2 linked regions of the Tamandua tetradactyla genome follow. The protein of the gene in region 2 purifies or fractionates together with the protein of the main gene of each other region. This does not show direct contact. Links are inferred from orthologs where the notes say so. Each region holds a gene or a part of one and is shown on either strand. Other genes may lie near its edges. The genes, in order: RANGAP1 and KPNB1.

The links.
Region 1: the proteins of KPNB1 (region 2) and RANGAP1 purify together in Homo sapiens (affinity purification with mass spectrometry; 3 studies listed by BioGRID and IntAct, with this or other methods). This does not show direct contact. The link is inferred for Tamandua tetradactyla from reciprocal best matches to the Homo sapiens genes KPNB1 and RANGAP1.

Annotation. Positions count from the first base shown.
Region 1 is NC_135333.1:34,451,767-34,459,540, forward strand, and holds the start of RANGAP1 (ran GTPase-activating protein 1), read right to left. Parts: upstream 3,143-7,774; 5' UTR 3,027-3,142; coding exon 2,942-3,026; intron 2,759-2,941; exon of another isoform or gene 2,693-2,758; intron 2,610-2,692; coding exon 2,469-2,609; intron 1-2,468. UniProt on the Homo sapiens protein: GTPase activator for RAN. Converts cytoplasmic GTP-bound RAN to GDP-bound RAN, which is essential for RAN-mediated nuclear import and export. Mediates dissociation of cargo from nuclear export complexes containing XPO1, RAN and RANBP2 after nuclear export.
Region 2 is NC_135332.1:29,005,662-29,013,377, reverse strand, and holds the start of KPNB1 (importin subunit beta-1), read right to left. Parts: upstream 3,208-7,716; 5' UTR 2,854-3,207; coding exon 2,814-2,853; intron 2,708-2,813; coding exon 2,649-2,707; intron 590-2,648; coding exon 407-589; intron 1-406.

The sequences.
Region 1 (7,774 bases), on a different chromosome or scaffold from region 2:
AGCTCAGCCCAGACCTTTGGAGATGCAGAAAGAAGTCGGCCCGGGGAAAGTTGTTGGAACCCAGGGGCCTGGAGAGAAGACCAGCAGAGACCATCCTGTGCCTTCCACGTAAGAAAGAACCTCAGTGGAAAGTTAGCTGCCTTTCCTCTGAAGAACCAACAAAATAAATCCCCTTTTATTAAAAGCCAATCCGTCTCTGGTGTGTTGCATTCCGGCAGCTAGCAAACTAGAACACCTTCTAACCCCTGAGTACTGATCAGGTCAACAAGGCGAGAGAAAATAGAATGTTTATACAGTCCCCAAAGACCAGGTGTCAGATGCCAGGGCCCCAAGGAAAAACCTAAGCTGTGAAAGTACCTTAAACACACAGATGCACATGTACCATGCTTCCTACAATTTCAGCCCAGGGGAAGTCACACTTACAGAGCAAGTCTATTAGGAAACATAACAAAACAGGGACAGGAGAACAATAGGGTCGTAAGTGGGTTTGCTTTTCTCCTTTGGTTTTCGATTCAAATGGAGTAATGCATAATTTAAAGACTGTATGGCCTATACAATAGGTTAGGGATGGGCCCCAGTCACTCCTGAACAACCAATTGTTACGAAGCTGTTTGGCAGGAATTTCTCTTTTCAGCCTGTACCACATCACAGACTAACAAGTTCCTGAGGATTGTTATCCTGACAGGTAAAGCAGAAAGCCTCTTTGATCTTTCCATGACTTACTGCAGAGAGAACAGGGTCTCATTATAATCATCAACTTCAGGGCCCCTTCACACAGGCATTTGCCCTCCTGGATCACCACCGGCTATCAGCCACAATCAGCATCAAGGTGAATCGTAGGCCCAAAACTGAACCCCAGGTTCCTCAGTACAGTATTCAAGGGCCTCTGCCCTGGGATCCCTATGGGGTTCTGACAACTAACAGAGTTCACTTCTCCCAAACCCACACTACTTGTTTTAGTTTCTGGACCTTAATCAATGCGATTCTCCCTGTTTGGAGTAACGATTCTCCTTCAAATCATCCTTTCATGACAGTTCAAATCTCATCCATGGATACTGTCCAGACCCTCCTAAGCTAAAAGTGAGCTCTCTCCCCTTAGTTTCCAAAGTCCTTTGTTTATGTCTCTTAGAGTACGTTTCACATTCTGCTTCCTGTTAGTCACTTCAGTACCTCATTTCCTTTCCACATTGAGGGCAATCTGGGTACTCCTGGTGACCTATGAAAGCAAGTACCAAGTTCAGCCCATGCTGATGTGGTGAAGAGGTTACCTCCATAAAGTTCAGAGTCAGACAAACTTAAGTACTAACCCCAGCTCCGCACTTACCAGCTATGCCCTCAGATAAGTCTGACAACTTCCGTGAGCCTGTTTTCCAATCTACAAAATGAAGATGAAGCCTATACCTCAAGGGCTTTTGTGAGGATAAACAGTGGTACTATTTGTATGGTCCCTAACACCCTGCCTGACACAGAGTAAGTGTTTAATAGATGGCATTTTATAGCAAGACCATGGTTACTGAACTGAGCTCAACATCCAGTGAGAAGCACAGGACCTATGTTAAAATGCTGGCTCTGCTACTAACCAGCTGTGGGACCTAGGGCAAGTTACCTAAGTCTCCCAAGTCTTTTTTCCTAATTAACAAAGCAGCATTTCCTCCTACCTCCCACAGGGACGATGTGATGAAAGCAGAGAGAGATGCTTGGTGAACTCTAAGGCCCTACAGAGATGTTAGGAATGTAATGTGCATCACCACACTCCCAGCAACCCACGGACTCTGACCCAGGGGAGGTGAGCAAGCCCACCTGCTCACAGTGACAACCAGGCAAGTCCAGACCAGTTTCCCTGTTTGAGGCAAAACCCCAAGAGGTCTTACAAGCATTGACATCAGCATCTTCTGTTCTAGACACCAGGGAATTCAGGGTTGGTCAGCGCCAGCCATGCCTAGGCTAGGGGTGGGGAAAGACAGGGTCTGCATTCTCTGCAGTCCCAATGCCCTCCACAGAGACATGGACATCCATGCCTCTCTCAAGGTATCTGGGAGCACTGACCAGACTCCCAGGAGGGCCTGAGGTGCTGCTTATTTGTACCTCGACATGGACAACAGCTGATGTTCCCAGGAAGTGAAAATGGGGGTAGAAAGAACACCAGATCTGATGTCAGAAGTCAGAGCTAAATCTTGGGACCACGATTAATTGTGGCCCCTTATAACCTACCATTCCTCCCTCTGAGAGGTAAAGAGGCTTTGCCCATCTGGCAGCCTGAGCTGTCACTACAAGCATGAAGAGAGTAGGGCAGCCTGCACAAGCTCATGGGTAAATCGTTAATGTCTCTGAGCCTGATCATTAGAATAGGCCTACTGGATACATAATAGAGTTGCTGCAGCCACATATGCCTGACAAATAGGAAAAGTTTTAAGTGTTCATTCACACACTCCCTTTCCTCCCCTGAACAAGTCCGTCCAGGCACTCACCATCTTCTGCTGTGTTGAGTTTAAGGCTCTTGCCCTTGAAACTCAGCTGTCCTCCGGCCACCTGGGTTTTGGCCAGTGATTCTGCAAGCTTGGCAATGTCTTCGGAGGCCATGATGGTGGAGTCCCCTGGAGATCTGTAAACTGAAGAGGCAGAAGTAGCATTAAGATACCTGGTTGAGGGGGTGGGTGGGAATCAACCATCTCAGGGGTCTGATCTCACTTACCCCTGCTATTAAGACCCTAAGAGCTACACCACTGAGAGATGAAAACAGCATCAAGGAAGAACAGTTCTAGAAAAGGGAAAGAGGTAACAAAGAAATAGATAAATCATGTTTTACTCTCTTAAAGTAGAAAAACCATGTTTCACCGCTAAAGAGTTACTATCTCACTATAAGTCCTGCTCGGCCCAATTGCTCCAGCTAGGAGCACCTAGCAAGGCTACATGATGCAAAGAGTCTGATCCAATCACATACCTGCCTGATCATCTTGGCTGCTCTCTGTTTGAGGGTCCCATTCCTCAAACAGGACATAGATGGCTATGGGGTCCAGGTCATCCATCCCAGGGAATGCCTCACCGCCCACGCTGGCATGACTCTGGGGGTGGGGCACAGGGGTTGGCCCACTGCTTGGCTGGTTTCAACCTTGCAGTCCATGGTGGTCAGACCTCAGAGTTTCTAGGAGACCAGAGATCTCTACATCACAATAGCACCATCACAATAGGTCAGGGGTAGAGTTGCCAGAAAACTCTACCAGGTAGCGGTTTCCTACCAGGTAGGGGTTTCCTACCTGGAGCTCAGTAGACCAGCAAGAAAGGACAACTCCACTTTACCAAAGGGGTACAGGCAGGTAATCAGGGGAGACCAAGGAAGACTGCTGATATGGGGAACAGAACTAGGAGGTGCTTAGAGAGACTCCTTTTATGTAGACTGTCTCCTCCCCCAATCTACTCATCCTCAAGAGGCAGCTATGAGAGCTCCCCCATTCTTCCACTTCCCTAGGCTTTCTCTGGGCTCAACCAAACAACTGTCCAATGTTTTCTCCCCTTCTAACCCTGGTTTGTTTGTCTGTCTGTCTTTAATAATAAGCCTGACTTATTCATTGAGTATAAGCATTCATTCCTTCAAAAAACATTTATTGAGTACTACTACAGGTTGGACATTTTTCCAGGTACCATGAGTACAGCAGAGAATAACAGACAAACATCTTCCTGAAGCAGATGTTTAGTACATTAATGATAAGAAAAATCAATGGGGAAGAGAGTAAAGAAGGATTTTTTTTTTTTTTTTGGTTGTTTAAAGTAGAATGGTTAGAGAAGGTATTGTTAGGAAGGAGGCAACTAATAAAGACCTGAAGTGTGTCAGAGATTGGGGCCTGCAGCCACCTGGGTGAAGAATATTCCCACAAAAGGGGATAGCAAAGGCAAAGGCTCTCGCCGGGAGGGGGGTGTTGGAGAACTGCAAGGAGACCAGAGGGCGCTAAGCGAAGAGCACAGTGAAGGAGGGAGAAAGGAGGTAAGAACGAACAGAGAGCTAAGGGGGACGGGGTATCATAAAGCCATTTTAAGGACCATGGCTTTTTCTCTGAATGACAAGAGACAGTGGAAAGTTTCTAGTAGAGAAGAGCTGTGAACTGGGGAATGCTTTGACAGGATCACTCTATCTGTGCACAAGGCCTGGCATTTAGAAGGTGCTCAAAGAATGAGGGAGTGAAACTTAATAAAAATTAACCTAAACCCTACCACCTCTTGCAGTTCTGGTGTGGGACAATTTGAGGCTACAAAAGTGGTGGTGGAGCCTCCAGATGGAACAGGGATGCAGCTTCTCAGCTGAAGGGGGTCCACTCCTCCAGTCACCTTCCCACCGCCCCAATTAACTCTAAAGACCAAAAAACCCGAAACACAGAGATGTAAATTTGTTTCTCCTAGGTCAGCAAGGGGTTAGCGGCAGAGTCAAGACAGCCCCTCCTCTGCAGGAGCATCGGAGACTTTGTGGGCCTACTGGGAGTCAGTGATGGGAGAGCGACGCGCGACTGCAGGCCATAAATGACAGGCGGGCAGCGCGGGAGCCTCATCCGAGATTCCCGGAAGACTCGCACCGCCTCCAGAAGCCACAGATGCCAACATGAGACGCCACAGCTGGCAGGCATGGACTGGGCGGCTCCAGAGAATTTGACATCCTCTCTATGCCTCAGCTTCCCCATTTGAGAAAGGCACAAACGCCTCTCACCCCCCACCTCCGAGCTTGGCAATCGCAGACGCGGGGGACATCGCCAAGGAGGCACGCAGCAGGCGCTCAGGGGCGCCACACTTTCCTTACTCAGTTCCAGGGCCGCTCCCTCCGCCCCTAGGCAGGTGACGGGCAAAGGAAAGGGACCCCTACCCTACCGTAAACAGGCAGCGCCGCCGCGTGGGGCGAACCGAACACGCGCGTCCGCCCGGCGGGGTGGGGACCGGTTTAGGGTCCGGGTCAGGTCAGGTCGGGGTCGCCGCCTTTGGGCCCAGAGATCTTGATGCTCAGCCCGCTAGGCTGTCTGCTCTCCCGGCGCTTCTCGTCACTCACGTCGCAGACACCACCTGCTCCCCACACCGCGGTGGATGATGGCGGAGGAGGAGGATTTTGAAAGCCGGCAGTTTCTTGCCTTCGATTTGATTTGTTCGAGGCCCAGGCCGGCTTCCCCTGCCCCCCGCGCGCGTGGCCTATCGGGTATAGTAGTCCAGTCCTTCTGCGCGGGGCCCGGAGTTACATGGCAGGGGCGCATACTGTGAACTACAAGTACCGTGACGCACCGCCCTCCAGAGTGCCACAGCCGTCGTCCTCCCATTTCGACGTCTGGCTCTTTCTCGGGCAGGCCACGGGACGGTGCTTAACCGGAAGCGCGCAGAGAGACTACAATTCCCCTAATGCCGTGCAGCACGGCTGTCCCAGCCCTTCCGGAAAGTTTATCTTCACGTAACTTTATTGATAACGGCTGGTACTTCCGAAGCCGTGCTGCTAAATCTCCTCAGCAAGAAATCAAGTATCCATTTCCTGAAAGAAAAAACTCGTGTTTTTTCGTCTCATTGAATTTAAAGGGCATTCGAAGTCTTCTTCATAAATAGCCATACATTACTTGGTAATCAAAAAGGGGTAATAATAATTCTATAGTAGAGAAACTCTGCGGACACCACCTTAACCAAGTAATTAAAGTTATCATCCGACACCCCACGCCTCATGATGTGATGCATTGAGACGGACACGGCATGACTATCCTGTCAACAATGCATAAAATTAATCTTGAGGAAACTTGTTACAGAAAAACTCTTCTGTACTCTTCCAAAAATATATCATGAAGGGCAGAAAAACAGGAACCCTTGCAGATTATAGTAAAAAGACACGACTAAATGCAATGCGTAATCCTGGATTGGATCCTGGGAAGATTGTCATAGGAGACAATATTGATACTATTAGCAAAATCTGATTGTACATTAGATAATACAATTGTATCAAAGTTAAATACCCTGATGTTGAGTATTGGACTAGGTTATGTTAGAGACTGTCCTTGTTCTTTGGAAACAGATGCTGAAATAATTAGGGACAAAGGCATGATGTCTGCAACTTACTCTCAAATGGTTCAGAGAAAAAAATGTATATGTACATGTATATGTATACATAGAGAAAGGTAAAGCAAATGTGGCAAAACATTAATAAATCCAGTATACGGGAGTTCTTTGCAACTTTTTTTAAAGTATAAAAATGCAAATAGCTTTTGTTTTTTATAAACAGCTTTTTAACCATTATATTAAAAACATGTATTCATTATAAACAATTCAACCAATATAGAATAGGAGAAAAAAAAGTAAACCTCACCTGAAACCTAAGCATCTAGAGATAATAACTGTCAACATATGCAACCTTCTTTTCCAGTTACCTCTCACAATCCAGCCTACACATATGCTTTTGCTTTACCTGCAATTCAGTTAAGTATATTATGTGCCAGATTCTTGCACACATAGCTTATTTAATCTTTACAACCACACAGGAAGTGGGCATTTTCCCAGCCTTCCCAGCATCAAGATGAGAAAGCTAACTCTCCAGACCTAATGTGACATCCCTGGTTCAAACAGCTGCTTAGAGGTGACACCTGCCCCATGTGTCCTCTTTCCCACACCAGATTGCTTCCCCTCCCTCTCCTCTGCCTGCAAAGTCCATGTCAATTCCCCCTCATCCTGAAGGCCTTCCTAAACCACTGCAGCCAGAATTAGTCTCGCCCAGTTCTGAGTCCCCACAGTAGTTGGCACATGGCTCTGAGAGCTTTCCCACAGTCAGAGTTAGCTTCCTACCTAGCCTGGGAGGGCCTCTGAGAACAGGCACTGTATCCACCTGAGCTGCATCCCCTTTGGGCCTGGCATCACTGATGTTTTGGGTTTCCTCATTTGAGGATTCCTGTCAGGGTCATCTGATGTTTGCCATCAGAACAAGCACTCCCAATTAGGTTTGATGCTGTTTCTGCGCCGATTCCAGCTAAGATTGATCAAAATCAGTCTGGATTTTCCTTGGGGTAATCTCCAGTCTCCGTTTTCCGGTTTTACTCCTTGAGACTTGAGGATCTCAAGACAGAGACTTCCCAAAGAGAAGAAGATGGGCAATAGAACATTTTAGTTGCTTAGGTGAACTTCCCCTTCTTCATCCAGCAGATAGATGATAGGGTTATCAGAACTGAAAGGGAATTCTTAGCAGAAACTCAACGGCCTTCAAGGGTCAAGCAGGTAATAGGAATTATTAAAAAGCCTGGTGGGGCTTGTGGAGGACTAGAGAAAATTTCTGACTGAAGGCATTCACGTGCAAAGCTAAAAATAAAAAACCCAGCCTGACCACACCTCTGAGCAATCCAGATTTTGTTTGTAACACCTGAATCTAGAGTCTATCTCAAACTCCTTTATGGGTAGGGATACTAGGACTTAAAGAGAAGGAGGTTTGCCAACGTTGCACAGTGAGTCAGAAAAGTCCAGATTCATCATTTGTTTCCCAACAACCACATTTGTCATCTTTTTCTCACTTTCCCTTTTTCCAACTTTCTTTCAAGATATCACCTGAGACCTGATCTATTTGCCTGGCCCAAGAAGTGGACTCAGCCTTTATGGATGGATGGGTAGAACTGAATTAGGCCACCCTTTTCCTGAGGACCAGAGAAGTTAAATAACCTGGCAAAAGTTACACAGTAACTTTAGACAAAAACAAACAAACAAACAGTAGAAGCCAGACCTCTGGGGTCCTTTTCAACACACTCAGAACAAGTCATATTGTGTGAGGCAAGTACAGAGGGAGAAA
Region 2 (7,716 bases):
CTTATTCTAGACCTATTAAATCAGAATCTCTAGAAAAATCTTAGAAATTAATATTATAATATTATTAGCAAATTCCCTAAGTATTCTGACATACCCAAGTTTCGGAAGTACCAATTTATGTACCATTCCAATCTACCAAATGGATTCTACAAATTCCTTTAATCACCGATCTAAAGTTTTCCCAAACAGCTATGTCCACCTAGGTTATCTGAAAATAAGTCCATTCCATCAGTGAAAACGGACAAGTTGAACTGAGAAAAATATTTAAATCAAGCACAATTTTTATCTTCAAGTGAGGTTCAGGTTCCTGAAACCTATCATACTGTGAGCTCCAGTTCAGCAAATGACAAAAGAACCAACATGTTTAATCCCTAAACATTATGACGAAAAAGAGAAAGTTACTTACATAGTTCTTGACTTCTCGTCGGGCATTAGCATCAATAGCAAGCCATCTCTGCTGATACTGTGCCTTGATGTCTGGATCCTTAGATGTCAGAGAGTTCTTGATTTGTAGCCCAGCTGCAACTCTGGCAACCTGACTGTTTCCTGGATTTGCCAGCACTCTGGACAGTTCCACAAGGAAAGTGGGCTGTTAAGAGATGTATTTGCGAATGAAAATATCTGGTAGGAGTTTCACCAGTTGAGGATAGCTTATGGAGCATGAAACCTTTTTTCCTTTTAAGGACAGATTATTAGTGCCACAGAAAACTCCAAAATATCTACTTCAAAAATTCCATTTAAATGTAACTTAACATATGAGTAAATAGTCTTCTCAGGCAATGGCAAACAATACAAGAGTGGCAGATTTTCCTACCAAGGTCATTCTTAGAGCCCAAGTTTTCAAATCACATCCCCAGATTTAAAGCAAGTTTGCAATCTGGTAGGCAATGGACCTTCATGCTGAAATGTCCCAAACGCCTAAAATAGTGCTTGTAACTAAGTATACGTTGAATGAATTAACGTTATGACAGGAATGTAAAATTGATATTCTTTTAAAAACTTTAGTCCAAAAAGAATTTCAGTGTGACTTTTGATCTCATGAAAACAGAAAATCTTGTATGAGAGGAAAATACTTGTAGGGAAATCTAAAACAGATTGAGGAGCCTAGTCCTCTGTACTTTAGTTGCAAGCATGAACCAACTTTCAGCAAAAGGGGAACAAAGGGAAAAAAAAGTAGATTTACAAGAAAAAGTTAGTGATAAGTATTAGAAACTGGGATAGAGAAAAACTGAAAAGATAAAAACTGTCAAGGCAAATTGTTCCAAAGAATATGACAAATATAAATGGCTAAAAGCCTCTATACAGTTTGGTATTAGTTATCCACGAAACTTAATGGAGCCCTAAAAAATATATTCAATCTCTTATAACACACAAGTCCCCAAACCACACCCCTTACGATTTCTGACACACACACACATTCCTGCACCCCCAAAAGCCCTACTCAAATGTAAAAGTTAACAGGAAAAGCCAAAAGGAGAGTTTCTGACTACTAACAACTACTGTTCACCATAGAATTTTCACATCAGAAGATAATTCTTAAAAGTCGTATTTAGTTTTGTATCATTATAACATGCTAGGTATGAAGGCTTCTGCAAATTAGCAAAAGCAGAAACGGGTGTCTATACTAGTGGAAAAATCCTTTCTGGGGAAAATTAAGGGTAAAAATATCAGCAGAAGAAACTATTCAAAGGTAGTTTGTATGAAATAAGACTTGCCACTTCTTTCTTACATTATTTTATCTAAATAACTCAAAGTGACCCATTTGGTTACAGTGTTAACTACATATTACTTATACTTTCAAAAGATGTCAAGTATCATCCACCTTTCCCTCTGCTCCACATCCTCCCAAATACAGGGAAACCGAAGGGAAGCAAGTGGCACACGGCTTGTTTCAATCAATCCATCCCACATTCTCAAACAGAAAATGTGCTCCTTAAATCTGAAAACTCCAAAATGAGGAACTTTGCTCTGTGATTTCCTCAGGAAATAGGACCGATCAAGAATGAACCCCAGTCTGAGTACAGATTCCAAATATCTACTCATGGATGTTAAAAAAATAAAAAAAAACACCAAAAAACCCAGGAAAGAACAAATCAGGCAGTATAGGGAGAAATATTAGGAGACATGGGTTAACTGGCATTCGGGTGCTAGGCCTGGCGGTGAGCACAGGCCAAGCTAAATCGGTAAGAGTTGAGGTCTGGTAAGTAGATGGAAAACCACAGGGGCCATGGGACAGGAAGAGGAAGCCGGTTCGGGTCTAGAGCAGAGCGGGCAGCTGGGCTCTGAGCTTCCACATGGCCCCTAGGCCCGGCTCCCCCACCCCCACCCTCGCCGAACACGCAGCGCGGCGCAACCTAACTTCCCTTCCCTCCCTCTTTCTCCCTCCCGCTGCACCGCCGCCCTCAGGCCGTGCGATGATTGGGCGGCAGTCACCCCGGTGAGCCGCGTCATTGGCCAGCTTCAGGGGCCCGGGGCGGGACACACCCACCGGCTTCCCGATGGCGGGGTTAGGTTGGAGCCGGGCGGGGGGAGGGGGACGGGATGGGGCGGGGTAGGTTCCCGAGGCCTGGGCCTCCAGGAGGGCGGGAAGGCCCCGGACGCAGGAGATGGGGAGACGGCGGGATAGGGAACGGCGGGATTGCACGCACCAGGTTCTCTACGGCCGCACGCTCCAGGAACTTCTGCGCCGCTTCCAGTTCAAGCCGATCTGGGGGGAAGCAAAGTGGGAAAGGGAACAGGGTCAAAGGGGCCTGGGCCTCCCCTCCCCCCACTTAAAATCACCTCAGCCCGAACCCCCAGCCCCCGCGTCCTACCGGGAGACACAGTCTTCTCGAGGATGGTGATTAGCTCCATGGCGGAGGTGATAGCAGCGACTTCCCCTAGGACGATGGTCCGGCCTCTCGGGCGGCGGCTCTAACTGGGGGTGGGGGTTGGGGGTCGGGTGGGAAGGGAGGGTGGGGTGGGGGGCGGGGGTCACCACAAGCCCATTCACCGGTTCCCTCTTGGTAGTTCCGGCGCCCTTTCCTTCCTTCTTTCTTTCCTTCTTCCCTCCTACTTTGCTGCTGGCGGCCGCGGCAACTACTCTTGTAGCGGTGGGGTAGGCACCCCGGGGGCAGCTCAGATCGCGGCTGGTGTTCGGGTGGCGGAGGGAGAAAGAAGGAAGAGAGGCAGTGAGTGAACGGCGACTCGCAGGGAGGGAGAGAGAGGGAGGGAGGGAGGGAGGCGGAGGGATATTCGGGCCGGACCTCGCCGCGGCGGCACCGCGCTCCAGTTCGATTGGCTGCTGCCGTGGGCACGCGGAATCCCCAATTGGTCAGGCGGGCAGGGTTGAAGGGCCGCCGTGCGCCAATTCGCCCGCTGGCTTCATGACCCGGATTGGCTGGGCGGGCAGGGAAATGGAGCGCGCGGATTGGCCGACGTGAGGGAGGTTGGGGTGGGGCCGGCGAGAGCCGGCAGCGGGTTGGATTGGCCTGGTAAAGGCCTTGAGCTTAGACACGCTGAGCGCTTGGAGGAGGATGGACTAAAGGCAAGGCTCCAAGCTCGGGTGATTGGCTGGCATACTAGACGTCGATAGGATAGCGCGCCCGGGAGAACTGGGAGAAGAGTTCGGGGTCGGGTCCGCGGGAAGGCGGGAGGCGCCAGGGTGCTTTGGGTGCCCGGCGCAGGGCACGATGGGACGCCCCCGGGAAGGGGCGGCGCTTTGCTCGGGCCGCTTCGGGCTGCGGTTGAGAAAGCGCCCTTGCTCCGAGGGGTGTGTTGTGTGAGTGCTTGGCGGTCCTGAGCGGGGGAGGGGAGACCGTTAAATCTCTGCCGCGCTCACAGGAAGCTGTTTTAATGGTTAGGTCTATTTGGCACCAGACTTTCGTTTGGGAACTACCTTGGAGACCATTTGGTTCAACTTTAATTTTGCACATGTGGAAACTGAGGCCAGAGAGGGTATGGAATTTTACAAGGTCACACAGCCGGATAGTGGCCTGGTCAGGATAGACTGTAGTGCCCCTGACTGCCCTTCACCCTGCATGCGGCTTCCCCTCCAAGGAGATGAATGCATTAGCAGTCCTACATTTTTTGGGGGGGTTTTAGGCCTGTGCTGTAACAAGTCCTAACTCGAATACGGATAGGCATTTGGATTCCTCTTAAGTGCCCGGTCTTTAGCTACCAGGTAATTGAAGGAATAGAGATGAATTTCATCTTCCAAAGGTTACCTTATAAAACACATCTGCGAACCAGAAAGAATGGGTGTATGGGCATAAAGGATTAGCAAAATGCACATAAAGAAAACGTGGCATAGTACATGGGCCCCAGGTTAGGAATTTCCTAGACTGTTAAATTTTTTTACCTTATTGATCATAGGTTTGATTGAAGAGAGTTATTTTTCATTTGCCTTGGTGTTACGAAGTAATTGCCCTACTTGAACCACACTGGGAAAACCCAGGAGATAATTTGTCCATGCTGAGAGGTTCCACTGAAGATATAGGAAAATCTGGCCAGCTACCCTCTGAAACGAAAAGTAGAGACATCTGCAGTCCTGAAGCTGAAAGTGAGGGGACACCATTCCTCACACCATCCTGTAACTTATTGATCTTTTCAGGTTTAGTATTCCACCTAGCTCCAGCCTTTTGCTTCATCTGTTAACTGATAGATGAAGTTTAACTTTGTTAGGAATCAGTGAAGCTTGTGTGAGCACAGGACAGTCTTTGAATTGTCCTGACGTGGTTTACTCACTGAATGATACACAATTTTGTTTCACTCCAAACCAACTTTTTCCTGCCCTCCAGAAGTTTGATGGGCCATCTCCTCTGCTCAGTATTAGTCATGATAACGCCAGTGAAGGCAAATTGATTTTTTGGTTGTTAGATTGTGTGCTACAGAAAATTTAAGTTTGGATAAAATAAGCATCTCTTCTTTCAGTTTCATATAGTAGATGAATTATATAATACAGACAATAACATTATTTACCATGTATTCTGATTTACCTCAGTCCCAAGCAGATCAGCTTTGTTCTTATCTCTACTTGAAGTCTAATCTTTTTTTTGACTTAACAGTTGCTGTAGGTCTTTTTTTTATATTTTTATTTTTTAAATTTTTTATTTTTTTACATGGGCAGGCACCGGGAATCGAACCTGGGTCCTCTGGCATGACAGGCAAGCATTCTTGCCGCTGAGCCATCATGGCCCTGCTGTAGGTCTTTGAAAGCTACAGAACTCCCACTTTGAGTCTTAGTTGTCACTCCAGTACCCAAAGTTCCAGGTAAATAACAGGTTGTACACAAAGAGCATAGCATCTCAGAATCTAGAAGTAAAACTTAAATCTTAGGAATAAATGTGACTATTGTAAGAGTTTATAATCTAGCTCCTAATTTTTTCATAATATAGTTTCTAAAAGAGACCATACAATATTTGTCCTTCTCTTTCTGGTTTTATTTTTTTATTTTGCTCAAAATAATGTCCTCACAGTTTGTTCACCTCATGGGACTTCATTCCTTTCTGTAGCCACACAATATTCCATTGTAATATACACCATAGTTCGGAAGGCAAATTGATTGTTAAACTAACTGAAATAAAATGCTGGGAAGATAAGTTTTGCAGCAGAGTTCCATCATATATAAGATCCTTACCAAAACCAAAATTGAATAATTACAGGTGATAGTGTTTAGGTGATAGGTGACAAGCTGTATCCAAAGCACTCTTCTGTATTTGACAATGCTAGTGAAGCCCCATAGCGTTGGGCAACACATTGGGAATTGACTGCATGGGTTCATAACCCAGCTTTACCACTTCTTAGCTTGTGTGACTTACTTTCCTCACTTGTAAAATGGAGCTAATAACAGTATTTACTTCATAGGGTTGTTGGGAGGTACTAAATGAGTTAATATATATTAAGTGCTAATAACACTACCTGGCATATTATGTATATATAGATGTATAAATATGCATCTATTTGGCTTGTATTTTGTGCTCAGAAGTTTTTGGTCTTCGGTGTACTAATGAACATAGATTTAGTTAATCTCACATCCAAATATAAAGTTATGAAAGTGAAAGATGCCAAGGAATGACCCAGACAGAGGCTCAGGGAAAGCTTAGAGGATGGGAAGGGAGTTAGTTACTCAGGTGATGAAGGGAGGAGCAACATGTGCAAAGGCCCCTTGGTGGGAGGGCCTTGGGGTCTTCAAGGAACTGAAAGAAGGCCAGTACCCCAAAACATGGAGAACAAGGGGTTGTGATAAAGCTGGAGAGTTAAGTGGGGCCAAGACCATAAGAGACCTTGCAGACTGAAAGGGGTTTTATCTGTATCATATAGGGGATACAACAGGAGCTATTGAAAGGTTTCAAGAAGGATGGTTGTGATGTGGAGATAGATTGGAGAGGAACAAGAATAGATGCAGGTAGACCGGTCAGCAGGCCATTGCAGTAATCTAGGTGAGAGATGATACTTGTAGCAAGGAGAAAGGTGGGGATAATGATGGAAATAGAAGTAGATAGCAAAATCAGTTGGTTTGGTGATTGTCTCGAAAAAGAGGGAAGTGTATTGTGTCTACCGGATTTCTGGCTTGTACTGTGGAATGAATGAGAGAAATTGAAGGCCACATGGTTTAGTAGAATGGAGAGGAATAGGCAGGGAATTTCAGCTTGTATTTCCTGAGCTGTGTATTGGAGTACATAGTTTTTTATATTCTCTATAGCTTTTTTGTATGTTGGGAATATTCATAATAAATACACTTTTTAATTTTAAAAAATGAACAAATTCTGAAATTGAAGAGAAAAAAACGTTTTTGTCTTACTCCACTATTTCATTCTGTGTGATTCTGAACAAGCTATGTAACCTTTTGAATCTGTGAAACATCTCATAGGGTGGTGTGAGCATAAATGGAAGCCCCTCTGTGAAGGAACTCGCTACAATTATCTTGTGCCAGGAGATTTTCAGCAGTTTCTGTTATGTGGGTGAATTAGTAAATATTAGAGATGAGCTAAAATTTTCCTAATCAGTCCCCCTTATGACCCACAGCACAGATGTGTAAGGTGACTCGCTATGATGGGAGGAGCAGTGAGGCCATGACCCTGATGCCATTTTCTACTGAGCAAAGTTGACTGATTGGTAGAGGGGTTAAATCTAGGCCTCTTTGCTTTAAGGGACACTGTGTACTTAAGGTTAGTTGATTGCATTCATTTTTCTGTAGGCATAGTATACTTCAATTAAAAAGTTATGCAAAATATATAAGGTGTTATGTAATGTTCAAAGAAAAAAGTTTTTGTTATATTTTTGTAACCTTGAAGAGAAAAAAAAAAGTGGGAATGTATAAGCCAAATGTTGTTAATGGCTGTCTCTGGATTTACAGATAATTTTTCTATGCTTTTTTAGTTCTCCTCAGTGTATTCCACGTTTTCTTTGATGAAAATGTATTGCTTTTTTACTTACTTTTTTTGTTTGTTTTTTCTTGGGCGGGTTGGAGGGGCATGGTCTGGTAATTGAACCCGGATCTCCCACATGGAAGGTGAACATTCTACCAGTGACCCTCCCATGCACCCTAATGTATTGCTTTTTTAATCAGAAAAAGTTTTAGAACTTCTTTTATTAAAATCAAAGAAAAGAGGTAGGGAAAAATGTTCAAAAAGGATTATTAAGCTCAAGGCCCCTATATCACTTGACACAACTATCCTTCTGTAACTGATCTTTGGAAAATAGGTGATGATTTTTTAAACGTATTCTTCCCAGAGC